Schizosaccharomyces pombe: one gene and its partner. The protein of the gene in region 2 interacts with the protein of the main gene of each other region in a biochemical or structural test. Each region holds a gene or a part of one and is shown on either strand. Other genes may lie near its edges.

Evidence for each region.
Region 1: the proteins of dsc5 (region 2) and cdc48 form a complex in vitro, tested with the Schizosaccharomyces pombe proteins (one study listed by BioGRID).

Annotation. Positions count from the first base shown.
Region 1 is NC_003424.3:1,297,449-1,315,230, reverse strand, and holds cdc48 (AAA family ATPase involved in ubiquitin-mediated protein degradation Cdc48), read right to left. Parts: upstream 8,787-17,782; 5' UTR 8,775-8,786; coding exon 8,719-8,774; intron 8,663-8,718; coding exon 6,289-8,662; 3' UTR 5,965-6,288; downstream 1-5,964. Other genes in the region: fsv1 (SNARE Stx8), read left to right, coding at 767-1,510; DNA-binding transcription factor, glucose starvation sensing, Rst2, read right to left, coding at 2,548-4,251; knd1 (cullin-associated NEDD8-dissociated protein 1), read left to right, coding at 9,614-9,650, 9,689-13,314; GTPase Spg1, read left to right, coding at 14,213-14,342, 14,389-14,597, 14,751-14,834, 14,875-14,949, 14,989-15,087; protein Utp8, read right to left, coding at 15,520-17,782. UniProt on the Schizosaccharomyces pombe protein: ATP-dependent chaperone which probably uses the energy provided by ATP hydrolysis to generate mechanical force to unfold substrate proteins, disassemble protein complexes, and disaggregate protein aggregates.
Region 2 is NC_003421.2:1,804,082-1,818,903, reverse strand, and holds dsc5 (UBA/UAS domain-containing protein), read right to left. Parts: upstream 2,820-14,822; 5' UTR 2,803-2,819; coding exon 2,695-2,802; exon of another isoform or gene 2,508-2,694; coding exon 1,332-2,507; 3' UTR 501-1,331; downstream 1-500. Other genes in the region: U6 snRNP-associated protein Lsm7, read right to left, coding at 85-376, 431-480; SPRY domain membrane protein, specificity factor required for ubiquitination Ear1, read left to right, coding at 3,421-4,569; dual-specifity cAMP/cGMP phosphodiesterase Cgs2, read left to right, coding at 6,273-6,362, 6,424-6,432, 6,479-6,891, 7,344-7,872; coatomer delta subunit Ret2, read right to left, coding at 8,645-8,920, 8,991-9,394, 9,453-9,492, 9,537-9,539; wtf antidote-like meiotic drive suppressor Wtf18, read left to right, coding at 10,370-10,508, 10,747-11,019, 11,068-11,391, 11,428-11,619, 11,660-11,722, 11,773-11,900. UniProt on the Schizosaccharomyces pombe protein: Involved in protein degradation through the ubiquitin/proteasome pathway.

The DNA of each region.
Region 1 (17,782 bases), on a different chromosome or scaffold from region 2:
TAATACTCTGGAATTAGTGTACTAACTCCTAAATAAATATTTAAGTAGTATTTTTCTTTAAGATATTTCTTTAATAAACATTCTCTTCTAATGAAAAGAAAAGCGTCATTATTGGTATTTTAGTTTTCAGAGCAAAGAGGTACTTAACATTTATTATGTCGCAATTATTTTATATATATATTATATTAATATTTTGTAATGAGAAACCTAGGCCTAATAGTGTAGTGGTTAACATACCTCTTTCGGGTAATCCCCACTTGTATGCTGAGTTTAGAGGTGATCCCTGGTTCGAATCCTGGTTAGGCCCCTTTTTATACTGGGCTTGCTGTATAAATTTATCTGATTAATTTTGAAACTACGCAAACCAACTTTCAATAATTAAAAAGTTTTCCTTACACCTTGCTTGATTACCTTTTAATAGATGTGAAATAAGAACTACTAAATTTGTGATAAATACCGAAAACAATCAGAAGAGTCGAAAAGAAGCATTCAAAAAATTGTGTAAATAACGAGTAGGTTTCTAATAATACGATAATTTCACAGGATGCCTATAATGGATCTGGCAGCTAATGAGCAAATCATTTTTACTTTTTTTTTTATTTAAAACATACGAAAAGATTCTCTTTTTTTGCTGCAAACAAAATTTACTGTAATTGAACCTAGAATTGGTAGCAAAGGCATTACACCGTATTACTGTAAACTTCACTAATGTTTGTGTTTTTAGGCGCATGATGAACATGATTACTCAAGAAAGTAACCAGCGACTATGTCAAATTTGCTTCTGATCATTGACTCGGTTTCACAAAAAATAAGAGACAGGAGGAAGTTGGAAGAGTTTGGACAGAATCCCGATGAAGAAATTGAGTCTTCATTGAAAGATGTTCGGCAAGAATTGCAAAAACTTAATGAGGAGCAATCGCGATTAGAGAAAAATGCACAAATCCCAGAGTACAGAGTACGAGAATCCGAAGCATTTCTTATTAGAATGCAAAGGAGGTTAGAGTCTGCTGAGGAAGAGTTTGAGAAGCAGCGGCGTGCATCCTCAATTCCTGCTGACGGAACAAGTGCCTTTTCTGCAAACCCGCAAGTTGCAAGTACGAATAATAAGTTAACTCCCCTTCCTTCTTTACAAAAAACGACTTCGAGTAGTGAGGGATCTGATATTGAGATGGAGGCCATGTATCCGGTTGATGGCAATGACCCTGATCCCATAAACGTAAACGTTTTGGCTCAAATGCATCAGCAAATGCTCAACGAACAAGAAGAATCTTTAGGAGGGATCGAAGCAAGTGTCCAAAGGCAAAAGCGGATGGGATATGCAATGAATACAGAATTGTCCGAACAAAATGTTTTACTAGATAATATGAATAATGATGCTGATCGAATTGAGAGGAGGTTTGATCATGCAAAAAATCGATTAAACAAGGTCAGCCGAAAGGCTAAACAGTATCCCAGATGCTTTATTATTTTGCTCCTTTGTGCGTTGTTATTACTTGTGGCTTCCATTTAGGGTGCAAATAAATATCACTTAGCAATTGTACTTGCTGTAACTCTGTTACACTTTCACTTAATTCTTTTATTTCACGTCCTCTTTGAACTAGGCTATATAGTTCTTTTATTTATATTTAATAACCGTGATATTTACGAACTTTTTTTTTACGATTTTGAAAATGTTTTTGTGATCTTCAACTTCTTTTGCTAAACGAACCTTCCCTTTATAGGGAATACAGAAATTAACTTTTTCGTACATTCCAGTTTCTAACCATTGACTGTCTTTCTACTTTAGTAATTATTTTTCTGCTAGCGCATTTCTTATCGAAATCATTTTTGTGTTCTTTTAAGGGCCGTCCCCCTTGTTCACAAAGCTAGTTTTGACGACTTAAATCAAGTGAATATAGTGCATGCAGAGTGAATGCTTAATAACCATTTGTTACAAACTTTGTTTCGCTAATAACTCCTTATTTGACATTTGAATAAATAACCTATTAGACTTTCAAAATTTTTAGATTCAGGGCAGTAAACAATAAACAACAATATCTTCAATTAGCTGTATCAATTTATTTTCAGAAGTTTTGCTATATTATTCCTTCATCTCATTAAAAAATATTCTCTTCTATTATTAAACATACGTAGTCATGTTATCATTATCATTATTAAGGAAAAGTTTGAACGAGTAGATTCTTTCTTGAGAATTAAGGGAACATGTGCTTGAATGCCATTTTTTTCATCTTAAATATAAAGCCTCCGTTGCTATTGTTAACCATATCACGCTGAACCTTTTTTGATAATAAAATATCAGAAGCAACCCTCTTAACTAATGTGTTGTGAACCTCTCAGCATTGCATATCTTAGCGTAATTAAATATTCGGTAAAAGAGGATCGTTTTCCTATCAACAATTGAACCCCAAATCAAAATATTCAAAACTTCAGATCAATCCTTAAATTAATTAAAAACCGAATCAAAGCTAGTTGATTTTTGTTTAAAAAAACTAAAAGATGCATTTCATTAAGAAACAAATAGTATAAAATATAAAGATATGAAAAAAATTAAAATGAGGGCGGTTGATTCCGATTATTATCTGTAAGCAAACCGGAAGTTTCGGATACAGGATAATTAAAGTCTGAAGACCAATTTGCCCCATTGTTATTGAATGAATTAAAATTAAAGAAAGGAATTGAATTGGAATTATCTAATTTCTCAGACTGAAAATTAGTCTCCATTTGATCCCCTTCGTTGTTCAATGAATTTGAATTCTCAACGCCTTCAAAATTGTAAGAGTCAAAATATCCCATCGAAGCGAAGGCCTGATCTTTATCGGTAATTTCTTCAGATAATGAAATGCCTTCTTCTTTGATGCCTTCTGATATTCTTCCTTCCATATCAACATAGCCTTTTGGAGGATAAGCTTCAGATGGATATTGCTCTGTTCCTAATGGCGAATTAACATGTGCATATGTGGGCAATCCAGAAGGGATCGAAGAAGGACTCAACGTTAATGGTTGCTGCATTAAAGATTCAGGGCTATAACAGCTCGGTGAAAAATTAGTGCCACTAGGCGATATGCAAGACTGACGCATATGTTCGAGATTATCAAGACGAGTATAATCCACAGAATTACTCTTAGGAGGATTCTGAAAAAAGTAACTATTTGATTTGTTGATCAAAGAATCTTTTGGTGAAGCATGAGGAGAAGGCATAGCCTGAAGATTAAGAAACGAAGCAGAAACATCAGATGGGCCACTAGGTTGATTGAAAGTAGGAAGATTTAAAGACTCACTAAAACTCATCCAATCCAATTTATCAATCTCGTACCCTTCAGGAATAGATTCAGGAAGTGTCATATTCATAGCGTAATTTCGTGAAACGGCGTTAGGTGAATACGGCATTCTAGCCAAACTTTCATCGTCTAATTGACCTGAAAGGCTTTCAGGTCTATTAAAGTCATAAAGCTGCGGGTGTTGATAAACAGAAGGCCTCAAATCGCTGGCAATGGTTGCCCTACGATAGTACAAAGGACTGTCGGGTCCATAAGGCACACCGAGACGTTGATCTGACCATTGAGAAGATGTAGGATTTACTGCACCAGATGCAGAGGCATTTACCGTTTCCCTCCCATTACCGGCAGAAACCAGCCTTTGTTGTTGGGCTTGCAACCAACTTGCAGAAAATGAACCTGAGTTGTTCGCAAGCTGCGCTTGTAGTGCGGCATGCAACTTTGGATAACGAAATTTGTCAATGGAATCTGCCTGAGGTAAAGAAATAACAGGTTTAGAAGCTAAATTTGTTGTGCTTACCGAAACATTTGAAAGAGAAGGATTGGGTAAAGCCGTTGTTGAACGACGTCTTCTTCGAGGTTGTGGATTCCTATGGATTTTCTGTTGGTGACGAAGTAGAAGATCACGCCTCGAAAACTGTCGACCACAACCTGTAGGTAAACCATCAATCTCACTACAAGTAAAAGGCTTTTCGTTGGTATGAGATCTGATATGTCGTTTAAGATGCTCCAATCGAGCAAAAGCGCGTGTACATGTTTCACAAACATATTGTTTAACTTTCTGGGGTGGGGCATTAGGGTCCTTTTTAGCAGCGGTAGAAGAAGCCACAGGTTTTGAATTAGAAGTAACAGAGCTGGGTGTATTAGCATTAGAGGTACCAGAATCGGAATTAATAGACATCAAGTTTTCCGAAACTTTTGATTCGGATAAAGTATTAGCTTTCGAGGCTATCGGTGCTAAAGACTCACGCGTCATGATAAAACAAGTTTTCAAATTAAACAATTATTTTCTTATTTTTCAAAAGAAGAATATGTTGTTAAAATAAAAGATATGAAGGGAAATAAAGCTTGAAAGTGATTGCAATCAGGATTCAAAAAGACTAAAAACGAAAACCGCAAAATAATTTTCGAAAATGAAATGCAAGATCCTAAATTAGTTATCAACAAGTCAGAAAAAAGAAATAGCTAAATAAATCAAAATTGACTTGTCAGAGAAATACAGGTAGGCAAAAATAAGCAAGATATAATCTGCCAAATAATTTTACCAAATAACGTTAATAGCAAAGCAACAGAATATGTTAAATATTTCTTAAGGACAACAGGGAGATGAGAAAAGTAGTTGAAGAAGGAAAATATGAGGAGAACTGTTGAGATGCCAAACTTTTTTTTTTTAAAGGGGATAAAAAAAGAGTGTAATCAAACAAAAAGCCACCGCGAAGAACAACAAGGAAAGAAGGTCGGTAAAATAGACAGAGAAAGAATAAAAACAATCGATTGAACCTGCACACAGTAATAGCACAGATAAACAAGAAAAGACACTTGAAAAACTTAATGTACTTCAGAAGAGTCTATTTCAAAAAAAGCCTGGAAAATAAATTTCAAAAAGATAAACGCCATCCACACTTTAAATAGAATTAGACACTAACTAGGAAATAAGAAACGTATTGTCGAAACAATGTACGTCAAGAGGAGAATCGGAAATGTAAGGAAAGGAGAAAGAATTAACAGTCAAATAATAACTGAAACAAGGCACGTGAAGGACAAAAAACGAATCCTATAACATATATACTAAATGTCTGATAGATTGGTTAAGGATGTCAATTTTATACATCCAAACTAAAAAATATAAAATAACAGACAAACGCTTTGCGGTTTTCCTATTTCACAAAGGAAAAACCAAAATTGAATGATAAATGAAGTGTATCCTATGCGAATTGTAAAGAACAAATCAGCTTTTAACACTTAAAAACGAATTTTAGTGCAATAATCTTCAATGATCTGAAACTCTGCAGTGAACTCGTATTTTACAATTCGAATAAATGAAGTTATTGCAACTTAGAAGTAAAAATCTTCTAGTGTAAAAGATTCTCTTTCCTTTCTAAGCTTACTAACTGGTCAAGTGGCGAAAAGCCGGATATCGACGATTAATCGTTTTTGAATGTTTTCACTGACTTCTAGTAAAAACCTTGATACTTTTAATTACTCAAACTTTCTGAATCCGTCAAAACTCTTTCTTAACAAATAATTTCAATCTCACTCATGTATATGGAGGATTGTCAGTTTAATGCATGTCGTTGTCGCGACTAAACAAATTTTATAATAACCTAATATTTCCAGGTAACACAGGTAACGATGCTTAAGGCACCATGTGGAAATTCTGAATCGACATTACATACTTTTGTGGGGGTAGGGTCAAACTACGGTTATCTGCCGAACAACATGTCCATGAGCTCGCAGATATCGTCCACTCGTTGTGGTCGATAGTGGAACATCCCAGTTTTAGCTCTTCCAGTAGATTTAACGGGGCGTTGCCTCCACGAAGAGACTTAACATCGCTAGCACACTACTAGCATAGTAGCAGTTCACCTTGAAAATAACTACACATACAAATATGCTACTATTTCGATAACGACATTTTAGGTTAACACTTGGATCTCCGGGTTGGCTTCTATCTATATGCCGATCGTTATGTGAATCGTGTGAAAATGCACATTTCTACACTTGCAAAAACTGACGAAAAGTTATAACTAAACACAACAGTCAACATAATAGTATGCTGTAGTAAACTAGACTTGGGCGTTCAAGAATTTCTTACTCATAAAAAAAAATTCGTTCTATTCAAAGACTAAATTTAAGAATCCCTACAAACTCATGTTAAGTAGCAGAGAAGTCATTATTATCAATCAATCAATCACCTTTTACAAAAATGACTTCAACAAAAAGGCAAGTCCATGTTCATACATAAATTTTGTTCATCATCGGATATAGAATTCATGCATTAAGGTGGTAGTTTCTATGCATACAAATCATCAGCACCATCATTTCCGAAGCTTGGTCCATTAGTATTACTATCAGCCGAATCAAACTGGAATCCTGTAAGACCACGCGAGGTAAGGAGTTGATGGGCATAAGCTTCATAACGACGGACTTCTGCATCACTGACAGAGCGGCGTGCCATTTTCATGGCCTCCTCCACATGATGACGCTGAACTTGAGACACAGATGCATCTTCGTCCATAACAACATCGTCAGCAGGAGCCTCTCCAGTCTCATTTTCGCGCTTGATGTCTTCTTCAATGCTGTCCTTGATGGCCAATTTAACAGCTCTTTGTACAACAAACTCCAAATCAGCACCTGAGAAGCCATGGGTCGCCTTAGCAACTGCACGCAAGTCAACATCTTCAGCAACAGGCGTATGTCTCAATTGAGTTTGCAAAATGCTGAAGCGAGCTTCTTCATCGGGTAAGGGAACGTAGATTAATTGATCCAAACGACCGGGACGCATCAAGGCAGGATCAATCTGATCGGGACGGTTGGTAGCACCAATAACAAATACATTCTTCTTGCTGTTAACACCATCCATCTCAGTAAGAAGTTGGTTGACAACACGATCACCACCACCAGAGTCACCAGCAGAAGCGCCACGTGCTTTGGCAATAGAATCCAACTCATCTAAGAAAACGACACAAGGAGCTGCAGCACGAGCCTTGTCAAATATATCACGAACGTTTGATTCAGACTCACCAAACCACATGCTAAGCAATTCGGGTCCCTTTACTGAAATAAAGTTGGCAGAACATTCGTTGGCAATGGCTTTCGCCAACAATGTCTTACCTGTACCAGGGGGTCCGAAAAACAAAACACCTTTGCTGGGAGTGACACCAAAACGCAAAAACTTTTCGGCATACATAACAGGCATCTGGACAGTTTCACGTAATTCACGCTTAACTTCTTCCAATCCACCAATGTCTTCCCAACGAACATTGGGAACTTCCACAACGGTTTCACGCAAAGCAGAAGGATTGCTGGAACCAAGGGCAAATCTGAAGTTATCCATTGTAACACCTAGAGAGTCTAAAACCTCGGCATCAATCTCATCTTCATCCAAGTCAATCATATCCATCTTTTCACGAATCTGTTGCATGGCAGCTTCAGAACACAAAGATGCCAAATCAGATCCAACGTAACCATGAGTCTCAGCAGCAATTTGCTCAAGATCAACGTCATCAGCAAGCTTCATGTTCTTTGTGTGAATACGAAGGATCTCTAAGCGGCCGGTGGGATCAGGAATACCAACATCGACTTCACGATCAAAACGACCAAAACGTCTCAATGCCGGATCGATAGAGTTAGGACGATTGGTAGCGGCCATTACTACAACATTACTACGAGCTTTCATACCATCCATTAAAGTCAATAATTGTGAAACAACACGTCGTTCAACTTCACCATTCGTTTTTTCACGCTTGGGAGCAATAGAATCTATCTCATCAATAAAAATAATAGCAGGGGAATTTTTTTCGGCTTCTTCAAACGCCTTCCGCAAATTAGACTCAGATTCGCCTGCCATTTTTGACATAATCTCAGGACCATTAATCAGGAAAAAGAAAGCGCCCGTTTCATTAGCAACTGCGCGAGCCATTAAAGTTTTACCGGTACCTGGAGGACCATACATAAGGATACCACGAGGTGGCTTGATACCTATACTTTTGAATAATTGGGGATGACGGAGGGGAAGCTCGACAAGCTCACGGATTTGAGCCATCTGGCGACGACAACCACCGATATCGTCATAGCCAACTTCTGCCAAGCTACTTTCTTCATCCTCACGATTAATGGGTTCACCTTCCCAATGAATAATTGTATCCTGGCTAACAATGCCAAATTCATCAGGAGCAACATCAACAACTTTAAATTCAACTTGACGCATACTACCCCGTACAACGAAAAGATCGCCCTTTCGAATAGGACGATACGCTTCAACAAAGTACGGCTTAAGGTAAACATCAAAGAGAGAACCAGTAAGACCCTCGACGGTATCAGCCAAGGGTAGTACTGAAATTCGTTCAGCATATTTAATATCTGGACAAGGATTGATCGTTACAATATCGCCTAACCTTACGCGCAAGTTGTTACGAACAACACGATTAATTCTTGCTACGCCATCTTCCATTTCTTCGTCAGTTAAAACAATCAAGACAGTGTCTTTCCGTCTCTTTCCTTTAACGACAACTGTGTCACCACGGAAAAGTTGTAAAGTCTCCATGGTATTGGACGACAATGTGATTACTGAGTTATCATCGTTGGTAGCGTCATCGACCACTAGAGAATTTGGTTTTCTTTTTTTACGAAGAATAGCTGTTGCTGTGTCTTCTGCACTATATGTACTGAGCTTGTTAGCATCGAATTCTAAAAAAAAGTTACTGCTACATCGAAAACATACTCTTTTGGAGGGTTTTCACCCTGAAGGTGTTCCACTTCTGGTTTCTTATCGGTCATGGTGGATGGTGCGTTCATTCGACCATGCACCATGCGCTTATATATGAGCATTCAATTTATAAAGATACATGAAATTATTGCTCAAAAAGGTAAATTATTTCTAAATATTCTTCTAATTGTTTTTTTTCTGTATAATAACATCTGTAAGCAGTTGAGTCTTTCTGCTACATAGCTGCCTCGCAAGGTCGTTACTACCAATTTCCATTATTTTCGCTAGATTGTTTTTATTTAACGCATCTCTAGAAAACACGTATTGTATAAATTGCCAAATTTAATTTATCTATTCTTCTTTTACCAAGGAAACGTCGTTGCTATTAGAATGTTCCAAGAACATCAATAGTAAACAATTTTCTAGTAAAATCTACGAGGAAATTTTAAACTACAGAAATGCAAAAATTCGAACGACCGCCCTATATCTAAATGTGCTTAAAACTTCATTACTAAGCATAAAATAAACATTTTGAGTGTTATCCGTTTTCAATTGAAATGAAACTTGGTTGGCGGTTTAGTAAGCTAAATATTTTAGTTTGAAACCCTTGCAATATTATTTATCATTATAACTATAAACATCAATTTTCTAGAAAGCGTTTTGTAAAAGTGTTTAGCAGTAAGTTAAGGCTAATCAAATATTCTTCTTTTATGGTTATTGATTGTATTGCACAATCAATAATAAAATTAGTTCAATCTTTAATAAGGAATTTAATGTGTTTTAAATATCCATACTTACTGTTCGTTATATGGCTTATGGTGTGGAATCCTTTATGATACACGCTGTCAGGCTCATTGTACAAACTGCTGAATCCCTACCTTAGTGGCCATAAAAATTAATCAATTGTAAAATGGAGGAGGGAATTTTATTAAAAAAATACGTTGAAAGTATGTTAAAAATAAAAAACTAGCTCTAACTGTTGCAGGTAGCGATAAAGACATACGTTACATGGCACTCAGCGATTTAGCTGCCCGACTTAATGATGCAAACCATTTGAAAAATCTCAAATTGGAGAGCTTTCCTGATACACTCGATGTTTTATTACAAGCACTGAGTGATGCTTCGCCAGAGGTTCAACAAGAGGCAGTTCGTTGTGTTGCTATAATTTCTAGCAAAATTCCACAAGATAAGTTAAAATCTACTGTTGAAAATTTGCTTTCTGGAGTTGCTGGGAAGAAATCGAAAAATTACTTGTCTGCTCTCAGTTTGCTTTTGTCCAACTCGAACGTCCAACCTTTCGTAAACAAATTTTATACTTCGACTGTATTCCCTTCATTTTTACAAATTTTAAAACAGTACAACGTTGCTCAAGAGGAATTTTTTGCAATTCTCTGTGTGGTCTGTGATTCTCTAGAAATATACCATTCTAATCTTTCGACTCTTCTACCTAACAATTTTGAATTGTGTATAGACGTATTCCAAAAATGTACGACACAATGCCAAAGAGAATTAATTATTAAAAAGGCTTGCTATCTCCTTTCTGACGTATCACTTTATGGGCCTCGCTTTGCATACAAATATATAATTGAGGTGCTTGATCGAGGTTTGGGACCCTCGACCCAAATGTCCGAGGTAAATATTTCTATTAAATTGCTTAACGAAATACTTCTGTCATCTAAAAAAGAAAAAGATTCATCTACATCATTCATCTCAACAGCAGTTGCTGACTACACCAATAAAATATTATCGTTATTAAAGAAGGAAGAAGCCCCAGATGAGTTAACGCAAAAATTGTTGGAGGTTTTAGGATTGTTATTAGAGTACCAACAAGTGAATATTTTGAAAATTTGGCCAGAATTACATGGTCTCTTAATCTCTAAAATTTCTTATGATCCCAATTTAATATCTGATACTAATGATGAAGATGATATCGCTGACTTTCTCGAAGAAATGAGTGACTATAGCAGCATTTACGAAGATGAAGAAGATGTATCTTGGATTGTTAGAAGAGAATCTTTGAAAGTCGTTTTGTCTGTAATTTTGTCACGTTTAGAGTATTTGCCTATAGTCCTTCAAGCACTAGGGACTTCTGTGGTTAGTAAGTTAAACGATAGAGAGGAATCTGTTTGCTTGATTTCTATCGAAGTATTAAAACAAGCATTCTTGCATGTTCCTCGTTGGATAGAGGTGTATGCAACTTCTAATGATAGAAAGCGTCGTTATGAAGGGTTACCATCGGACCGTTCAGCAATATCGGATACTTCTATTTATTTAGTGTCTGTAATTGGAAAGCATGTCTCTAAGTTATCTGATAAAACTCCACTTTCCATTGTATCTGAATTACTGAACCTAGTTACAGTGATTTTTTCTTCAAGAGATCTTGGTGTTCAGTCCGAATTTTCAAATCTGAGCTCAATTATATACCGTTTTCCTGATTTTTCAACCCTTGATATAAAAATTAAGCTGAATTTAGTTCGCTTAATATCAGCTATCATTTCTTGCGGCTGCGAAGAGATAGAAAACATGGAATCTAAAATGTCAACTATATTAAGTTTAGCGGTACAAAACAACTACCCACAACTTTCATACGAGGCCTTAATTACTGAGCTGTCATTTTGCAAATATATTCATAAAAAGCAACCCACTAACGTCTCAACAGATTTTTCCACAATGATTGATTCTTCACTTCAACTTTTGGAATCTAAAATTTCTGACTTGAAAGTTCGTTTAGCTTTGATAGATCTGGTCTCTCAATACGTAATTCTTTTCTATGAGCCTGATTTTGATTCTATATTCCTGAGACGTGTCTTAATTATTTTATGTAAAAAATTACAGGAAGAGCCCACTAGAAGTGCTGCTGCAAGAGCGTTATGTGATATTTTCATGTCCGTTACAGATATTACTAAGATAGAAAATGGAACAAAAATTTATGAAGAAATACTCCAGGATTGCTGTAGGCATATCGACAAAAGTGGCAATGAATTTACGACTGCTTATTTGGAACTATTAGAAGTGCTCTTGAAAGTTGGACAAAAATATCTCGCTGAAAGCTTGCTTGAACATATCTTAGGTTTACTGATCGAGACTCTTAAAAGAAACACTGAGAATACGGTTGCAATTTTAAAATGTTTGCTAATCATACCTTTGAGTATCCTTTTGAAATCAAAAAATTTACTAATAGACACTATAATTTCTCATCTGCAATCATCAACCATACATTTGAACGAAGAGTCCGTTTGTTTGCTAAGCAGAATTATTGCTGTTATTTCGAAAGAAGAAGATTTGGAGTTGATTATTAATTCTTTCACTTGTGCACAAAAACCTGTTGAAGAAATGGTTACATTGGCATTGATTGCTGCACAACTGATTTGTATTTTTCAATCAAAGGCCATTGTTACGTCTCTGAATAAAAGTTTTATGAGTCCTAAATCAGAAGTACGGATAAAAGTTTTCACAACTTTAATTTTTGGACAGCTTGATTACGGGAAGCTAACACTTCCTGCAAATGAGTACTTTGATACGATTGCAAGTAATTTAAACTCGCCGAATGCAGATGTTATGAAAGCAGCAGCTATTGCCTTAGGGTCGCTTACTAGTCAAAGTGAAAAATTCATAAAAGAATTATGTGCTTTATACGTCTCAGATGCTTATGATAAAGAACTTTTATTAATTTCCTTTTTAACTTTTCTTAAGAAATCAAAAATCGATTATGAAACAGCAGATAAAATATGGGATATCCTTTCTAAGGACATTGAAAACATTAAAGACTTTTCCACTTCTCCCTTCAGAACTCTTTTATCTGAATGTCTTGGTCTTTTAATTTGTAATGAATCTTCTAGCTTATATTATAAGCTAGAACTTTTATCCTCCAGTGAAGCTTCAAATCATATGCTTTTATCTCTTTCGGTGTTTCGTTTTTCGTTGACATTGGACTGTCCTAAACTGAAAGCTTATGAGAAACAATTTTTTGAAAAGGCGTATAAGCTATTTCAAAATCCAGACCTCGAAGTTAGTCAAGAAACGTTGCAGGTCATAATATCTGTGATAAAAAATAGGCGTTCTTGCATTGCAGACGTTTATAATGAACTTTTACAAGGCTTAATTTCCAAATCATCAGTTGATTCTAGTAACGTTCATGTTGTACAAATGGGCCCTTTCCAACATGTGGTTGATAATTCAATAAATCAACGGCAGCTAGTATTTGAAACACTTTATTCCTTACTGGATATCCCTGAATCTTTGAATCATTTAACCCATTTTTTACAGGTTTCTGTCATGGGGTTAGAAGATGAACATTATATTAAGCTAGTATCTTTGTCAATCTTGGAAAAACTTGTCGACTGCAGCCCTTCAATTATAGACGAGCAAGTAGACACTATTTTGGAAGCATTACGAAAAATTATAGAGCTTAGAAAAACTGAAAAGACTTTAAAGACAGATAGCGATAATATCCTTGATTTGGTTCGTTCTGCTTTGAGAGTTTTGTTTACAATGAAGTTGAAGTGCGACAATCCTGTAATTTCTGAATTCGAAAGTCAAGTTCAAAAGGGTCCTTACTCCTTGGAATATGAGGGAATAAAGAACGAAATCAAAACTACAATTAAAACTTGAATTTGAATATAATGTTGGAAATTCCCTTTGAATTTTTACTGGCATTTGATTACCTACAATATTTCAATGTTGAAACCTACAATGCGCTTCTCAACTGATATATTCATTAATTTCAGATGAATCCAGTTGACGCATTAAACAGTAAAAGCTAAGGTGTGCAAAATGAAACAGAAAAATAAATGCTGACCATATTTGTCATATTGTTAATTATGATAATGTTTAGAGGCATTTGGTTGACTTAATATATTAATTATTACTGGCTTGTTCTGGTCGTCAAGCATTTTAAAAATGACACTGCCATGTTAACGTTCAGTCTTAGTGTAACTTCTAATTATCAGTATATGAACAATTTTAGTACCTTTATCATATTATGGCTTCATAAACACCTGGCGGCTCGGTACCACAATCCCTGGTAAGAACCCGAATTCCGTTGCAATGCGAGTAAAACCCAGAAAAAATAGTCCCGAACAAACTTATGAGTACAAGAATTACGAATAATTCCAAGAGCAATTAACAACGCATCTCATTTGGCTCAATAATTAGCACAAACAGTTATGGAATTTTACATTATCGATAGCAAATAATCAAAACTACAATTTACTGTAAACCCACCAGTTATAATAACTAGCTTTTTTATAATTACTTATTATAAATAAAGATCTTTTCTCGTTTTAATTTACAAACTAATATATTACCAGCATTCTTTCCATTGCTTAAAAAAATATATGTACAAGTCAACGTAACACGACGTAGCAAGCTATGTCATAATACGCTATTCATAATAAGCCAATATATATATTATAACACGAACGAGGCTTCTTATCCTATGCAAAGGGAAATTGTTCATCTACTGCCGGGGTTCAAGCAGAGTAATATCAGAGGATAGGAGTTTTAAAGAATGGCAGATGCTAGAAAAAATAACGTCACGATAAAAGTCGGAATGATTGGAGATAGTTCAATTGGCAAAACATCTCTTATGGTAACTTATGTTCAGGGCTCATTTGATGAGGAAAGCACACAAACGCTTGGTAAATATTTACCTTTATTGGGAGATTTCTAACTTAACAAACTTAGGAGTGAATTTTATGGAGAAAACAATAAGCATTCGAAACACTGAAATTACCTTTTCAATTTGGGACCTTGGAGGTCAGCGAGAATTTGTAAACATGCTACCGATGGTTTGTAACGATGCCGTTGCAATTCTCTTTATGTTCGATCTTTCAAGGAAATCCACATTAAATTCTATCAAAGAATGGTATCGTCAAGCTCGCGGTTTCAATAAGGTATGAGTTCTTTCGTTCCGATATACGTTTATGCACGTCCGGGTTGTTTTGATTTTGTTTTTAGAACCGATAACCTCTGTTCGTGGCTAAACTTCATTAGATTACTTTTTATCGTACTCAGTATATCTCTAACTTAGTTACTAACGCTTTCAGACCGCTGTCCCTATATTGATTGGAACAAAATACGATCATTTCATGACATTTCCTCGTGAAGATCAAGAAGAGATTACCAAACAGGTACAAAAATTACTAGAAGTCGTATTATTAACTTGGTTAGGCACGTCGTTATGCAAAGGCCATGAAGGCAAGCTTGGTATTTTGTTCTACTTCACACTCTATTAATGTGCAAAAGGTATAATATCAGTTGATATACTATATTGACGATTTTTAGATATTCAAAATTGTTTTGGCTAAGGTGTTTGACTTAAAATGTACTATTCCTGAAATAAAAAACGTTGGAGATCCTATTTTGGAATACATCGATCGCTGATTTTTAATGCTTTACCATCTCTTTCTTTTTTTTTTTACTCTGATTTTACCCACACTCCTTTATCATGTTTATTTTCCCGAATTTTTGTGTCATTTAAGTATTGCTACCTTTTCCCTTGCTTTTGGTTTTAACGACATATTCATTTACTCAACTCTCTGTCAAAATATTTAATGAATTATAACCACGATCTCTGCAACTTTTGGTTTTTTGTTTGAACGAAATCTGTCTAATTAAAAGTGATCTTTACCAGTCTTTTGTTTTATCAAACTTTTAGTTGATATAGCTTTGCAGTTGAAAACAAGGTCTGAAATATCTTTGAATGTGGTATACTGTCCCTTTATGTACAAACATTATTTAAATTAATTTTTGATAGATTTTTATTCCAAAAAAATAACCCCTATATGTATTTCACAAATAAACCTGTTTTTCTAATTATATTTCTAAACGTTCAACTGTATATTTTCCAATAGCCATGTCAATTTCTTTACCACGGGCACGTTGGCTTTTACCTTTTCTTTTTTCGGAAAGAAAATCTTTTTTCAGTAAAGTCGCAAGATCACCCATGTCATCCACAATTGCTTTAGGTTGTGGATTGGCGTAGAACTGCACTCGTTCAGCATGTACGTCTTTTTTACGCTTAACAATTTCGGAAATTGCAGGGAGAACAAGCGACATAGCTGTTAAATTCGTTAGCTTTTCCTGTAAATCATTGTAGAGAATCCTCGCAGCCTCTAAGTTTTCAGAACTCGATGCAACGCCTCCAACACCCATTGCATCGAGAACAACAGACAAACAGTAAATGTACGTTTCCAAATTAAACTTAACAGATGCAAGGTTAGAGTCTACTACTAGGTTGCCCAAGGTTTTAAAGAGTGAATCAAAATCCTCGGGAACAAAAGCTAAAAGCAACGCTTCTCGGGATGTCGTGCTATCAAACAAAGATAACCTCGCTAAAGCACTTCTTAACAACTTAACCTTGGAGGAATTGATAGCTGTTTTAATTGCGCAAGCTATTTCATAGGCTGAAATATCAGAAGTTCTTTCCAGGAAATTAAAGGCAATGTCTTTTTGAAATTTATACAAACAATCAAACACGGAGCCCGAGAAACCTTTTTGTACCAGAGTTGAGTAGCTAAATAATCGGTGTCGTATTAAGTAATTGAGTGTCCCTGAAGCTGCACAACTGACCTGAAGCTCATTTTCCTCATCAAGGGAAAACAAGAGACTTTCAATTGCATGAGCAAATGGAATAGGAAGCACACTGCTTGTTTTAAGAATTTTGCAATTGTTGGCATACTGATTCTGGTATCGTTCGACAACACCTAGGAACTTAGCATCAAACTCTATGGTATTTTTTTGTTCAGCTAAGGAACGCAAGGAAATTAATTCATCACGAAGTGAATGATCTTGCAACTGTATATTTTTCAATAGTTGGTCACGCATCGAAGGACCATTTTTAGATTTTGTTAAAACTCCTTCGCCGATGAGTTCATTGGTTCCGCGTAGCTTTCCGATTTTTGAAGTACGTTTACCAACTGCATCGGCAAGAAGCATTTTTATCGGCAATGTATATGGTACAATGGCCAGTCCCTTCTTTAATAATACAGCAATGTATCCAGTTAATTGGGAGTTTTGATTCATTTTTTTTAAAGACGACTTATAACAGGTAAAAGTGAGAATCGTGGGTTTCTGTTTCAAATCGTAAACATCTTGAATAGTTCCGAATGTTATGTCCCATAAAGATAGTTGACTATCATGTTGAATTAACAAAAAATTATCCGAAATAAGCTCTATGTGTTCAATTTTCGATATGCTTTGGAAATGAAGAATTTTAATAAGCATATAAGATTTGGACTCATCATGAAGTGAGTATATGGATAGCCCTTCGAGGGAAATCGTATATATACTTGTAGAGTCTTTAGACATCAGAATGTGCGAAGGAGCCTGAACTTCCTTTAGAACCACAGCTCTCGTATTCACGAGACGTCTTTCAGAAACTGAAAAAGAATCTACATAATATTGTATAATTTTGTCGACATGTACACTATACAATAAATATACCATGGATGTGGATGAGGTGACATTAGCGCTAAAACTGGTAGACCCTGACTTTGGTACTGAAGAAGTTGTGTCGCTGTTCATCTCGATTTCCTTTGGATTATTATTAGTGCCACTTGCTTCGTTAGATGCTAATCGTACAGCATCAATAGGATTTGCTTGTGAAGGAACATACATTGATTGAAGCAATGTGGCTGATTCGTTAACGGAGGCACTCATGTGAACTTTGTCATCTTCGGGATCGAGAAACGCAATTTTTCCGTTTCGAAATACAATCACTAGTTGACCAGTTGACGAGATGAAATGAAGAGCAAATATTTGTTGGTTGGAAATATCACGATATACAACTTCGCTTTCCTCCTCGAGGTCGTTGAACTTCCAAAGAAGTATTTTCCATTCCCCATTACTTTTAAGAGAGGTGCAGGTCCAAATATAATGCCAATTTCCTTCTTTAATGTAGATGGGTGAGCAGGAAAACCGTGTCTTCTCAGGTAGAGGACATGAAGCGAATAAGCGTTCATCCTTCATATGATAAACTTCAATTCCCTGATTTTCCACTTGAACACATATATAATAAGGAGATTCAACTCCGTTATCCAAAGCAACCGTGCCAGCACTCTGAATTTCATGCTTTTTA
Region 2 (14,822 bases):
CAAAACATGCACATGCGGTATAATAATTAACTTGTAGTATTTTATTAACAATAGTCAAACATCAAATGAAGGGCTTGTGGCTTTTTATTCAGCTTGGACGAATGGATTCGGTATCTCCTCAGAACCATCCATGGGAGCAATCAAAACTAAAGTTGTTCCACGAACGACTACAAGACCTAACTTTCTAATAGCTCCAGTAAGTTTACCATCCTCAGGATTGCGAAGCTGTTCCTCTACATCGTCAAGTACAAGGTTCATCAACTGATCGAATCCTTTTAGAATACCGGTAATTTGTCGGCCCCCCGTAAACGTGGCTTGAATTCGTTGATCTTGATATCTAGAAAGATCAAGGATAGATTCTTTTCTTGGTCTTTCACTATTTAAGAAAGTTAGCAAAACTCATGATGCTGCTCGTTCCTGCTAGACTTACGTCGGTTGACTAGAGTTACCTGGGCCAGGGCGTTTTTGAAGACTGGACATTCTTTGTATCTAGAATAACCAGGTAAATTATCAGCTATTGCCCAGAAAAGAATAAAGTACAGGTTCAACTTGACGATTCTCCTTTTTACGATGATTGTAACGTGATCGAACGTATCCTTATATGGTTCAATTTGAATGACTTAAGACATAGCAGTAAATGGAATATAAAACACGCTACAGAAAGGAATGTAAAATAAACTTGCTCAGTCTGAAAGGAAATAATTTCACCGCTTTACTTTTCCAATTTTGTTAGAAACGTTGAGAAATTCCATGCTTGGGGTCATAATGCTTGACATAAAGTGAATCTAATGCACTAATTTGTATATTAATTATATAAAAATTTAACATTAATGAAAGTTTAAAGGTAAAATTTAAGCTGTTTAGAAACAAAGCCACTAGACTTTTTCGAATTGCAATAAAGAAAGATTTATATTTTAAACAAATTTATGTTCATAATACATACCTCACTCATCACAGACGAAAGCTGGCAAAACTTTTATGCTACAAAGCCTAAATTACTAGCCTTTGTCCTCCATTGCAAAGAAAATCGTAGAAAACAGAGATGAAGATGACATGCATAGAAAAGGTTTTTGGCAAAGAACAGAAAATCTAGTGGAAATCGACTATGTACTCAGATTAAAGGGTGCATTGAAAGTTTGCTCAAAATAAAAAGTCAATGCGTCCAGTAGACATTCATGCCATAAACAACAATTAATTCAGTAGTAGAAATAGAAAAGAGAAAATAAATTCATCATACATCAAATCTTAGAAATGTATTTAAAAACGGATTCGAAACGTCGATAGTCGTAAATTGTCATTATGATTTAAAAAGACAAACAATTTTGTTAATTTCAATCATCCAGCTCCACCACCACAGTGCCATTTGGAAAGATGGCTTTGTTAGTAGAAATAGCCACTGATGGTTTCAGCAAAGCTCTGGGCAAAGAAGAATATAGTTGAAAATGAAAATCATGCTTATAGTCACTTGGTGGAGTGACCGGATTAGAAGATGAAGTAGCGCGACCGAATTCTTCAGGCTCCTCTTTTTCAAAAAGCATATAATCCACATAGTTGTAAACGGATTCAACAGTATCATCCTTCTTAAACCTTCGAACAGCCCGAGATCCGTCGGGAAAACGGATCGAAAGACGAGCAGGTTCATCTTCAGATGATGGCTCCGGTGGAAGATTAGAAGCAAGCCAAGCACGATATTGTTTTTTCTTTTTCTGAACGATTTCTCTTTCTTCTTTCTCCTTTGCAAGACGCTCTTCTTCTGCTCTCGCGAAAGCTTGACGCTCGCGATCGCGGGCAAGGGACGCTTGATAGGCATTGTCTTGTTGACGTCGTAACTCGCGAGCAGCTTCTCGTGCTTCTCTCTCCGAACGGAAACGCTCAAGAGAAGGAAGATGTTTAGCCAAAGCATTAGTTAGATTGGTAATGATGCTGGAACTATCAAGACATCCATGGAGTTGGGCGGCAACTACAAGCTCAGATAGCTGAGGTGAATACATAACAAGGACTGCGGAGGGAAATTTAGTGCAGTGGAATTGACGAGAACCTCGGAAAGCCTCATCCTCACAAACATCACCAGTCCAGCAAAGAATGTTTCGACGATTTAAAAATTCCTTTAGCTCTTGGTTCATAAGAACACTCCTGGAAAACGTCTCAGAGTCATCATTCTTTGAGCTAGTAAAGAAAAGCAATGCGACTCCATAATTACGCTTAATACGTGTCAACGCTTCCATGTAGCCGCCATCAGTAAAAAAATCAATATGCTCAGTACCGTATTGCTCTTCTAAATTCTGAACCAGCTTGTTCGCAGTGTCTGCAGGAGAAAGGACACGCTTAGTAGTACCAAAAATGGGGATAAATGTTGAAATCAGAGGAACCCTTGACAAAATCATCCATAGTTTGTGCAACCCACTGAATAGCAAAGAAAAAACAGATTGAAAGACGCCGAAACTTAATCCAAGCTTTGAATTTCTATCGACTCTTGACGATTCTCCAGTTAAACTCTCGATCGCTTCCTAATCATAAAACAGTTAGCAAAATGGCTCAGTCCCAACATTCACCGAAAATTCGATTAGAAAAATAAACGACAACCAGAGGATTCCATGAATGTTCAGTTGCAAATAACAACTTTCTTGGAATTTTTCAATCAAAGCAATTGATCACTATCGAATACTGAAAATGAATGCTTGCCGTGTCACATACCTGAACGTCCCAATTAAATGATTCCAAAACAGATTGAGCAGTATCAGCAGGAACATCAAGAGAGTTCCTTAATTCGTCTATTGCTTCTTGTTTTCGAGACCCTGACATGGTAGGTGTTGTTGGTTAATGGACGGAGTAGTATCCATGTGGCCTTTACGTGGTGCTTCGTAACCTTCCTTTTCCCATTACCATCTGAAATCCGGAAGCAAACATTGAACGAATCAAAGTAAATTTTCGAATAAAAATTTGGTTAATTCCAATCTATGGTTGTAAAAACAGAAAACTTATAAGCATAATTGTGACGGAGCAGTATTATCTGGTAAATTGCCGCTGATTTTCGATTTTACCTTACAACAGGCCATTGTGGCTCCTTCAGGAATAAATTCTTTTTTATCTTAAGAATTATATCTTATTTATTTAAAGGAGTTTGTATTTTCTCCTGTAAACTTGAAACAAGTATACCATTTCGCCCAATCCTTGAGCATTCGCAAAAACCATATTAGTGCAATATTTGAGATACTTGCATCTACGTTAGATTTAAATATTGTATCTCGTGCTTAATAAACTGCATATCTGAGAGAAAAATCCTTTTTCTCTTAACCCTATACTATATCCTCTTATAGCTAGGATTTTACTCTCAGTTATTTATTTCTCTATTAAATATACACTCGCAGATTTTCCTTTTTCAAATCTTATATAAAAAATTATTTTTTGCGTCTTTGAGTCATGCATCCCGATCAGATTCGCCAGTTGAGATTACAGGAATCTTCAAACACCCATCCTAATTTAGCAATCCTTTTCATATTTATTGCATTAGCCGCTGTCATTGTTCTTTTAATCTGTCTTTTGTCAGTCATCTTATTACTGCGATACACACGACATGGACGGATCTTGCTGAAAAACACCAATCCTGGTGAGTTGGACGACGAAGCGTTAGAGAATGAACATATTGATGAAGAAGGATTTAGTTTATTGGATGATATGGGGAAAGAACGGTATTTACAAGCTCGTGAGTTTGAGTTGAATTCCATGAAATCTAACGTCAACACGGATGCAAAGCTGCTTGACTTCCTACAAGTTCAAGAGAAGGGCGTATTAGCATGGCACTTTATCCCAAATCAGGAATATAATTGCTATGTTAAAAATAAAACTGAATTGTCTTTTTTGGGCAACGAAGAATGTTGCATGCAAACCAATTTGCCTTTGCAGAGGATCAATGAAGTATACTATTTTGAAGTAAAACTTTTAGACGTACCTATTGATACCTTGGTTTCCATCGGTCTGGCTACCAAGCCATATCCGCCGTTTCGATTGCCTGGTTGGAATTTTTGGTCTACTGCTTATGTGTCGGATGGAACACGCCGCAGTAATTCACCATTTACGGGAAAACCGTACTCCTCTTTCTACCAGCAGGGAGATGTAATTGGTGTTGGTTACAAACCGAAGTGCAATCGGATCTTCTTTACACGTAACGGTCGTCGGTGTGCAGAACTGCCGTGTACATATCGAAATTTGTATCCTACGGTTGGTGCAATTGGACCTTGTACCTTACATGTCAATCTTGGACAAGCAGGATATGTATTTATTGAAGCAAACATCAAGAAATGGAGACTCGCTCCTGCGGTTGGAAGCTTGGCTCCTCCTCCGTCGTATTCTACATCGCAGCCAACTATTAGTTGGGATGCAGCTAGTGAGTCTTCAGCGGGTACAACAACGCAGGGCGATACAAATAGACCCGACAAATCGAAAAATAGGTCACCTCCAATAAATTTTGATGGTACCTCGTATGATGCGGCTGGTAATGTTTTCAGTCCATCATCATCCAACAATCAAGCTTATCAAATGCACTCCATGCCTGCTACCGATGAAGTATAAGGAGTAATGTATAGCTTAGCACTAACAACCTTCACGCCAAAACCAAAGATCAAGTTGTGGAAATGTTTGTGCGTTGTGTTTCAAGTTAGTCCTAAAATCGAGAAATGCACTTTGTATATGAATTGAAGGGGATGTGTTGATGTTCAATGTATTTATTTTCTTTATAATAATTTCTTCAAAATTAGTTATAATTATTAATCTTAATTAAATTTACTCTATGTTTATTCGCTCAATTAATAAAAGGTTATTCACAATTTATTATGATTTTTCGTATAATGTTGCTATTGAGTCTATACTGTTAACATCAACCTTCATCGAATTCCGCTGGTGAGAAGTTTTAACGGAGGAATTCATAGGGTTGTCAATCCTGATAATGAAAGTGTAAAAGGAAATTTTCGAAAGCGCTTTTTTACATTTCTAATTTTGCGTAGTGTCATAAAATGCAATTCCTGGTAAAAACAAAGCCGCTTAATTATTAGTCTTGTTATCTTTTGCTGTAATAAAAGGAAATCTACCTTTTTATTCCAAAGGAACAAATAAAGCAATTCGATACTGCAGTGTGACATTCTTTGTGAGTAAAAAAAAAAGGGAGTAAAACAGAGAACGTATTCAAGTAATATTCTGAGAATTGTTTCTATTTCAAACTTTTATAGCAAGTTTCCAATATGCCTTTAGGTATAGACTTAATTGAAAAAAGACCGATCATTATCAAAGGGAAAATTGGGATATATTGCTAATTAAAATATCTACCTAAAGGCTGCTATGCACCTATGATGATTTCTCTCCATAGACCAACAAAAAGTTCAATGGAAAGCAATTTCAGCGGCACATACAAAAGATTCTTCAAATAGGTAATTTAGGAATGTTTCTTTTGATTATCTTGCATAAAGGAAAAGGAGATCATATTTTGAAAGCTCTTACAACGATTACCACCCTCCCTAACTGATGCAAACTGGTTCTCAGCAGCACTGACTGGAACTATCTAAGTACTCTATGAAAAAGTAAGAGTTAGTTTAGCATAATCAGATAAAATGACTGGGACTTACGAATCCTCAAAGTCCGATAAAGAACCAAGTTCATACGGAAATCTATATTACACGAGGTTCAGTTTTTTGTATGTATAATGAATTATTATTTTAAAAAACATATTAGTGTCCGATAGTTTACAATTGTTTGCTAGTCGGTCTCTTAAAGAGAAGGGCATAAACTTCTGCCGACATTGTTAAACAAGCAACAAAACTTCCCCTCAGAAATGTTAAACGATAAAAAAAGGAAACCTCTGGAATTATATAAAAAATAGCTCTCTCTCTTCTCGTTACGTGACATTCTTTAAGGGTGTATATTGAACCTTCGGAAAAATTGCTCTCATAAGGAAGTGATACATGTCAAACGTGTTTCATCAAAGTCGCATTTTTTTTCTTAATATCTTACTTAAAGCAGCAAAGCATAACTTCGTTCCTCTCCACTTAACGACTTCCATCCTTTTATTTATTCATAGCATACTTCTTCACCAAGCGGGCACATGAATAAGGATAATTAACACACTACACTATACCCCGAGTTTCTCCACATTTCGAGCATCGTTTATCGTACCCTAAATCTACGGTAGTAAATGTATGCTTGTAATAAATATGACGTCAACCGACATGTTTTTGTAGACTAGTGCATGCACCGGAGATCTGTAACTCTCCATAAGCCTAGCCATGCATGCAGCACTCGAAATCAAAGAAGCTGAATTTCAAACCGATCAAGTAGTAGGACTCGTAGAAAATTCTTTTACATTATATTCATTGGTATGAAAAACGAAAAATATTTTTTTTTTTGAAGAATTTCGACTAACGTTAACGAAAACAGGGACAAAATGTAAGAATTCAAACATTATGCATTGAGAGCCATGCTGACTTATTAGGGGGGTCCATTGGAGTCTTGCTGTAGCAGTCATTTGATTTCTGATGGCGCATTTCAAGAAATTATATCGCTGGATGGTGGAAGCCACCTATCGGCGTTGGTTGAGTTGATCCAGTCAAAACACCTGTCCGTCGATTCTTGGTCTTCCATCACCAAGTATGACAATTATACGGTGGAAAATGAATCATACGCAAAAGCCTGGCACCTTTCAGAGCAAAGGATTAAAACGTTTCTCATCACACACTGTCATTTAGACCACATCTATGGAGCCGTCATCAATAGCGCCATGTTTGGTCCTCAAAATCCTAGAACCATAGTTGGGTTAAACTATGTGATCGATACCCTAAAAAAGCACGTGTTTAATAACTTATTATGGCCTTCCCTCGACAAAGCCGGATTTATTAATTTTCAGGTGTAAGTAAATTCTTTCTCAATAGCTTCTGTCAAATGAAAATTTTTTCATTGTTTTAGTGAATAGGTTGAGGGTTGGGAAGGCAATGTTGAGTTTTGAAAATTTTTTATTTTCTTCATCTTAGTTGAAGAGATGTATGCTCGTCTTTTTTTCCTTCAAATCTATTTGCTGAACACACATTTATATATTTTGCATATATGTAAACTATCTGCTGACGCTTTGGTTGATTTGCATGGTTTCATGGTACTTGTGCAATTTTTTTTGTGAGACAGTGATATTATTTGAAAGATTGCAAAGATTGCAATAATAATTATATCTCTTTTTCTTTCACTGTTCTAATATCTTTTGTTCTTGTTCAAACAAGTTAATGAATTTAACTCTTATGCGAATTTGCTAAATCAACCCCATCGGCATTTCTCTTTCTCATTTGACAATGAGACTAACCTCTTTTTAGGGTTGAGCCTTCCATGTATACTAGTTTAACGACTACTTTGTCTATATTGCCCTTTCCCGTTAATCATGGCTCCTCTTTCGGTCAAGAGCTAAAGTCGTCTGCATTTTTATTTAGGAATAACCTATCCGACAGATACTTTTTGGCTTTCGGGGACGTCGAACCCGATATGGTAGCCTCAGAACCGCTTAACATTCATATTTGGAGAGCTTGCTCTAGTTTAATTGCTCAAAGAAAGCTTTCTCATATTCTTATCGAATGCTCCACTCCTGACATCCCTGATACTCTTTTGTTTGGTCATTTTTGCCCTAGACATCTAGTGAACGAGCTTTGTATACTCCAATCTCTGGTCCAGAGTTATGGCGTTATCATGCCTACCCTTACGTGTTTGCTCACTCATTTGAAATCACATCCTCTTCAGTCGGCGAATCCTGCCGATGTTATATTGGAGCAGTTAGAGTCGTTGTCTTCCAAAAGTTCTCTTTCAGTCACATTTAAAATCCTTCAGCGTGGTCAATTTTATAAATTTTAATAGCATCCCAGGGTCATGGTCATATATTCATTATATTTTTATTTTTTTTTTTTAATTTCTTTTAGGTTTCTCCATTTATTCGTTACGCCCTTTTATCCTTCCGCCGTTGCCGCATGTCTTTCTATTATTGAGAATTCTGTTGGAGGAATTTTGACTTTGTTGTTAATTATTGAATGCTAAAGCAATTAATTATTACCTTTTTTTATTTTTCATTACCAGTTCATCGTACCTCGCTTTGCTGGTTTACTCTCATTAGAATTTCACGCTTTTCTCATCGGACACTTTATTTTCAAAAATAGAATGCTTTTTCTTTGTTTGCCAATCTGCTTTACTTTTTAAATAGATTTCTAATTTGGTTTTTTGTTGTTGTTGACGAGGTTTATAGAACGATGGGTTAAAAGTCTTAACCAGATTATATACTTGAATAAATGGGTTATATTATATGACGATTTCTCTGTTCTAATATTGTTTACCTAGAAACAAGAGGAAGCATTCCTAAAGGGTAGCGGGTATATTAGTTGAGTGATGAATCAATATAGGTTTGCTCTGCTTTTTTCGATTGGATAGACTAGGAAGTATTCTGGAGGGTATGAAAGGAACAAAGTGTTCTATTACAGTTGGTAATGGTCGACTCTTGATTACGATGTTTAATTTGGGATAGAAAAATGATTATTATTTCTAGTTATCGCATATGATCGTAGGAAAAGCACATTACAAAGGGGAAACGAACCAAAACGGATGCAATGATCATAAAGGGCGCTGGAATAGTAAATTAATATAACAAGCTAGTATTCTTCTTCTTTCCAAGTTGCATTCCTTTCGCTTTGGGAGCAGAAGAAGCCTTTGCTGCAGCGTGATAAGACTCCATGGCAGATTCGTCTTCAACATTAGACGTAGCAAAGGTTGTATTAACTGTTTGATACCCAATGGATTCATACGCATCTGCACTGGGAAGATTCTGAGCCGCCCGTCTTGCAGCTTCTTTCTTTTGTAATTCAAGTTGTTTGATGCGGCGCTTCCTTTCTTCAGTTGCTTCAATTTCTTTGTTCTAGAAAGTGCATTAGTAAAACCATACAAAAAAAATTTCGATGACTCCACCCCTATGCTTCAACACGTACTCTTGATACAATTTCTTGAATTTTCTCTTCGTGACTCTCCATTTCCAAATAAGTTTTGATCTGTGTCAAAGATACATTGTCTCTGTAGCCAAGGCTGGTAGCTTCGTCAAACGCAGTAAAGATTTCAAATGCATATTCCAGAATCTCTCGTTCTTCAAGCGACGAACAAATCGATGTTACCACTTGAGAGAGGAGATGTAATGTATCAATGTCTTGCAAAATATTAGATTGTAAATTGGTGATCAACACGATATACAGTTCGTCCAACGGTTGGTATACGAACCTGACGTTGTCAGACTCCACCGTGGTATTTTGAGACTTTTCCGAAACGAGAGCGGGGAAGGAAGACAAAAGGCTTTCTACTCTTACACGAGACATCTCACGAAATTGTCTCGAGATGATGGCTAAACAAATTTACTGTAAGCCTCAAGTCCTTGTTAATAGCTAAACTACTTTTCATACCTTTTCCCCCACGATTCACAATACTTACTGCCAGGACGACCTACCCTTTGTTAAAATCAACACGATAGCATGAGACCTTCTTACCATTTTTTGAGACTCCTAGTAATAAACCACACACAATGATATGGTGCTAAGTAAAGGGTAAACGCTGCGTTATGCGTGTAAGCACGACCAACACAAATACCGCAAAATACTGTGATACATTTAGCAAAACCAATAATGCTTTACACGTTACTTACAATACTGCAACATGTTACGCTTCCCTAAAGTTTGACGCTATTCTACGTTATAATAGGATTCGTTACGTATCACTATATGTCACATGTTCTTTTGGTATATTGTATTACCGATGATACGATATTGAGATAAATTTTGATGGAAATAGCATTAAGATCTATATTATTTGAACAATATAATTAGAATCCCAACTGAACCTCACTCCTCACACAATTGTAAGCTGTATTTGTGATAGGTAACAATACAACTTAATAGTACAATACCTACTACCTGTGTATCGTAATATCATAGGTCACAAGGAAATTTCACCGCAGTGCTATGTTTCGTTAAACCAGATACCAAACTGCGTAGCTGACATTATATTATACTACAACGTTTGCTTCTCAAAAACGTTTAAGGAAAGCTAAGTTGGGGTGAATAAAAAGGGCAGTGACAAAATAAATGTGTCAGAAGCAATTCACTGCCTCGTTCAGTTTTTTCGTTCTTCTTTTTTTATGCCATTGTTTGAAGGAATTAGTTGGAAATTTGTTTGAACAATTTTATTATTTTGTTAAAAAGTCTTTAAAGCGATTGGAATTGGACTACAGAGCGAATATTCTTGATTTCGCTGTTTCGTTTGTCGCAATCACAGCAATTAATTCGCGCATGTGTTTTATTAAATAAAGAATGATCTTGATGAAATGAAGAATAATTACACTTCCTTGAAAAGTCCTCTAGATGAAGAAGATGAACTGAAGACAGATCATGAAATCGATTTGGAAAAAGGGCTACTTCCAGAATATAATTCAGAGGAAGAGGGCACACTGCCTCTATATTCAGGTAAGAATTGTAAATAATAAGAAAGGAATTATTCAATTGAAAGTTGTAACTTTCTATTGCTGTAAAATAATTTGGATGTGATCATTGTTTACAGTTGGCATATCCAACACTTGATCATTTTCAAACATGCGCACATTGTATTTACTCATGTTATCAACTCAAGATAAATCATTCATAATTGAGATATACATTTTACTCATTCTTTAAATATTACGCTTTAGGCTAACTATAAATGCAGACATTTCGAAACTTGCTAATCCTGTACCTGAGGATTCAAGTACAGGACCTACAGAAATTGCGAATCCCAATGTCGAAAGAAGACAAGAATTCAAAGATTCACATCCAAATATATATTTCCTTCTGAGACTACTAATATCAGTTCTTGCAGTTAGTGTTGTCTTTTTTACTGCATGGGTTTGTGTAAACCCGTTGGAGAAGTCGATATTCGGCAAGGTAGCTTTCTCCGTCACAATTGGTATAACATGTCCAATATTGTTTATTGCTACTTTCTGTAAGCTATGCATGAAGTTGTTAATACGTCCATTCACTAACTCATTAGGCTTCTTTGAAACTTGGACCCAGGCAGTGGCACAATGTATAAAGGTGACTGTAATTTTCTTGGCACAATGTGTAAAGGTGACTGTAATTTTCTTGGCACAATGTGTAAAGGTGACTGCAGTTTTCTTGGCAAAATGTGTAAAGGTAATTGCGGTCGGTTTGTATAACTCAAAAAAAGATTTGGTGGTTACAATCTGGCTCGCATGGGTAGTCATTTGTTTTATACTCTTTGGTTGCGTCAAGGATGGTAGACTAAACTTAAATAAGGCACTCATCTGTTCCACATGCAGTATTTCGGCTGCTTTATTTTTCATTTTATTGCTTGGTAAGTGAAATTATCTTGCTAAACGCTAACATACAGTTTGTATTCCAATTTGGACACTCAAGCATATGCTTTTTGGTTTGTTTCAAGTGCTGGGTGTACAAAGTTGTGTCGTTATTGTAACGAAAGGTTTGATGTATTTATTTGATAAACATATCGACGCGACAGGCTACGAAATTGAAGCCTCTTCACTCTTTGTTATAGGAAATTTTCTTTTCTTTTACGAAATGGGTTTGTTTAATATTTCTGTAATTTATTCTAACCGTATCAGAATGTCCAGGTGCTCTCAAAAGGATGCCCAAATTTATCAGGAATGGTATAGCTTCTTTCCTAGGTATGTGTATTCAACCAACTGTATGAATGATTCTTTACTTACCCGATTAGAAGGTATAGGAAATGCATTTGGAGGGATAGGAAATGCAATTGGGCGGATAGGAAATGCGTTTAGAGGTGCCAACGATAATAATAATAACATTCCCTTGGAAGAAACGGAGGCCGAAAGCGAAGTCTAATTGCTTTATTATTGTAGTTGTCGCTCCAGTTGGAAAACCTCTTTACGACAATCACCAACGCAGAGAAGCTGCGGCTTTTTAAAAAATAAGCACTAACATTCTTTAATTATCCTCTTTCTTTATAAGTTTATGGAATGTATGCTTAACTTATTCTTTCAATTACCAAAAATTGTCAAACCAATGCATCGCTTAAAATGGTTCGCGATGTTGGATAATCTGGATAATATGCATTGAGATTCGAATCTCTTATTTATTATGATGCGAGTCTAATTATGTGTCTTTTTTAATGGAACCCAAGACACAAACAATAATGGTTTAACTTGTTTACGACAACTTAAAATCAACTAATGAAATCGGAAAACTCGTTGTTCCGCCTTGTTAAATTCACAATTTCATTTTCGTTTATTGCATTCATTTCTCCTTCATCTTGATTCTTAATGAATCAAGCTTAATTATCATTTTTTCCATTTGTTTAATGGTTTACTTTAATACAAACAAATTTCAATGTTTACGAAATAATGAATAGCATAATAAAATATTGTGACTCAGAACGATGATTTGTTATCGTAATAACCTAAAGACATATTGCAATAGTGAGTATGTAATAACGCAGTAAACGTATATACTGGTTTTATGTTGAGTTTCTTAATGATGCATAAGGAAATCTAAGTTGGGGTGAATAAGAAGGGCAGTGACAAAATAAATGTGTCAGAAGCAATTACATTTTGAAAATGAGTTTTGGAATTTTACTTTTCACTTGCTATTATTGAAAAAACAGTTTGCTTTGAAACGAAGAATAATTACACTTCCTTGAAAAGTCCTATAGATGAAGAAGATGAACTGAAGACAGATTATGAAATCGATTTGGAAAAAGGACCACTCCCAGAATATGATTCAGAGGAGGAAAGTACATTGCCTCCATATTTAGGTAAGAATTGTAAATAATAAGAAAGGAATTACTCAATTGAAAGTTGAAACTTGCCATCTTGTCAAATTGCATGCTTTGGTCATTGTTTACAGTCGGCCATGCAATGCACACATTTTAAAACATGTTCTTTCTTTACTAAAGTCTTTCATTATATTAATTTAAACAGATCACGCACGTGTAAGCAATCCTCCTAACGCACATAGAGAAAACCATTCTTCCGGGACGACAGATGATTCTTCCCCTTTTTTGATTAAACTACTAATATCATTCACACCAATCTATGTACTGAATGTACTCGCAATTTGTTATCTAAAGTATAAGGACGCTTTTTTTGAGACTTATGGCGCAGCGGAATGGACATTATTTGGATTTTGGTGTCTTGTTTGCACTTTGGTTTTAATAATCTTGACTTGTAAGTGAGACAATAGGACTAATTTTACGTTCATTCACTAACTCATTAGACTTCTATGAAACTTGGACCAAGGCAGTCAAGCACTTTTTGAAAAAGTGGAGAAACATGATTTTTGCTTTTTGTAAAAGTTCTTTATTTTGCTTGGTTTTATTAAAAGCTGAAAACAAATTGAGTTCACATTTAGGTGATCAACAATGGGGATGGAAATGCTCGGCATCCGCTTTCACTTTCATGGCTGTATCAAGCATTCTCATATTCATTGCTGAAACAGGTTTGTTGTTTACTAAACATAATTAATACTAACGATATAGTGGAACCGGGATCTTGCTCTACAGATTTGGTGAAAAGAACACTAGCACTTTATGGTAAATTTGATGATAAAAAGAAGTGTACTTTAAATTTGTTCACTAATTATTTTTAGAACGTGATGCCAGACAACACGTGAATGAATACACAGCTATTCCATTGCATGAGATGAACCCTGAAAATGAAGCCTAATTATATTGCTAACTTTACTATAAATTCTACAAGAATGTGCAATGGAAAGAAGCATCTATATAAATGTGATTTACCAAACAAATCATGATATGTTTAGACTATATCACATGTATTTTTATTGCATATTTCATTTCCTGACGAATTGGATGAGCAAGTGCATTGCTTGAAAGGCTCCGTGAATAACATACGCTGGGAATTGAATATTAAAATAATGGTTTTATTTATTCGTTTTAAAATAGCAGTTCACTAATTGACTGTTATCGTCAACTAATGAAATTGGAAAACTCGCTGTTCCTCCTTGTTGTATTCACAACTTCATTTTCGTTTATTGCATTCATTTCTCCTTCATCTTAATTCTTAATGAATCAAGCTTAATTATTTTTTTTACTTTTGTTTAATGGTTCAATTCAAACAAATTTAATGTTTACAAAATAATGAACAGCATAATAAAATATTATGATTTCGAACGATGAACTTTTTTCTAGCTGTAAAATAAGCTTAAATACGCTTCAATGCTTATCCAATGTTAAGTAAAAGAAGTAGAAGATAAGTGGAAAGCACAGTTAATATGTAGATTGACTTTTGTATTCTTTTTTTTTTTTTAAGGATAAAGAGGATCGTTAACTTTGATCTTAAAATTAGAAAGCTGTTATAAGCATATTTGAAGCTTGCGGTTTTGACAGATGCCGACTAGTAACACACTAATTAATTCAGTACGTTTACTCCAGTTGATGGGCGTTCTCATAGACACACCCGTTTGGGACAAGCTAAGCTAAGTAGAACGGCGGTCTCGCTAAAGTACAAGTTTAATTGCAAGTTGCGATGAGGTCCAAAAAGTCTCCTTTTTGCGATCAATATTCACCCCGTCTTGCATGAAAGCATGTCTACATATCAAACATGTAAAATTTTACCAGATTAACACTAAAGTCTTTTTCTTTATGATACATAATGAGTACCTACTTACGAAGAACTAAGTGAAGACCTACTTATCTTATAATAAACCGCAACATGAGTCTTGCAAAATTCAAAAAGAGCAACAATGGAGTGCGCTATAGGTGAACGAATGAGCATTTATGATTACATC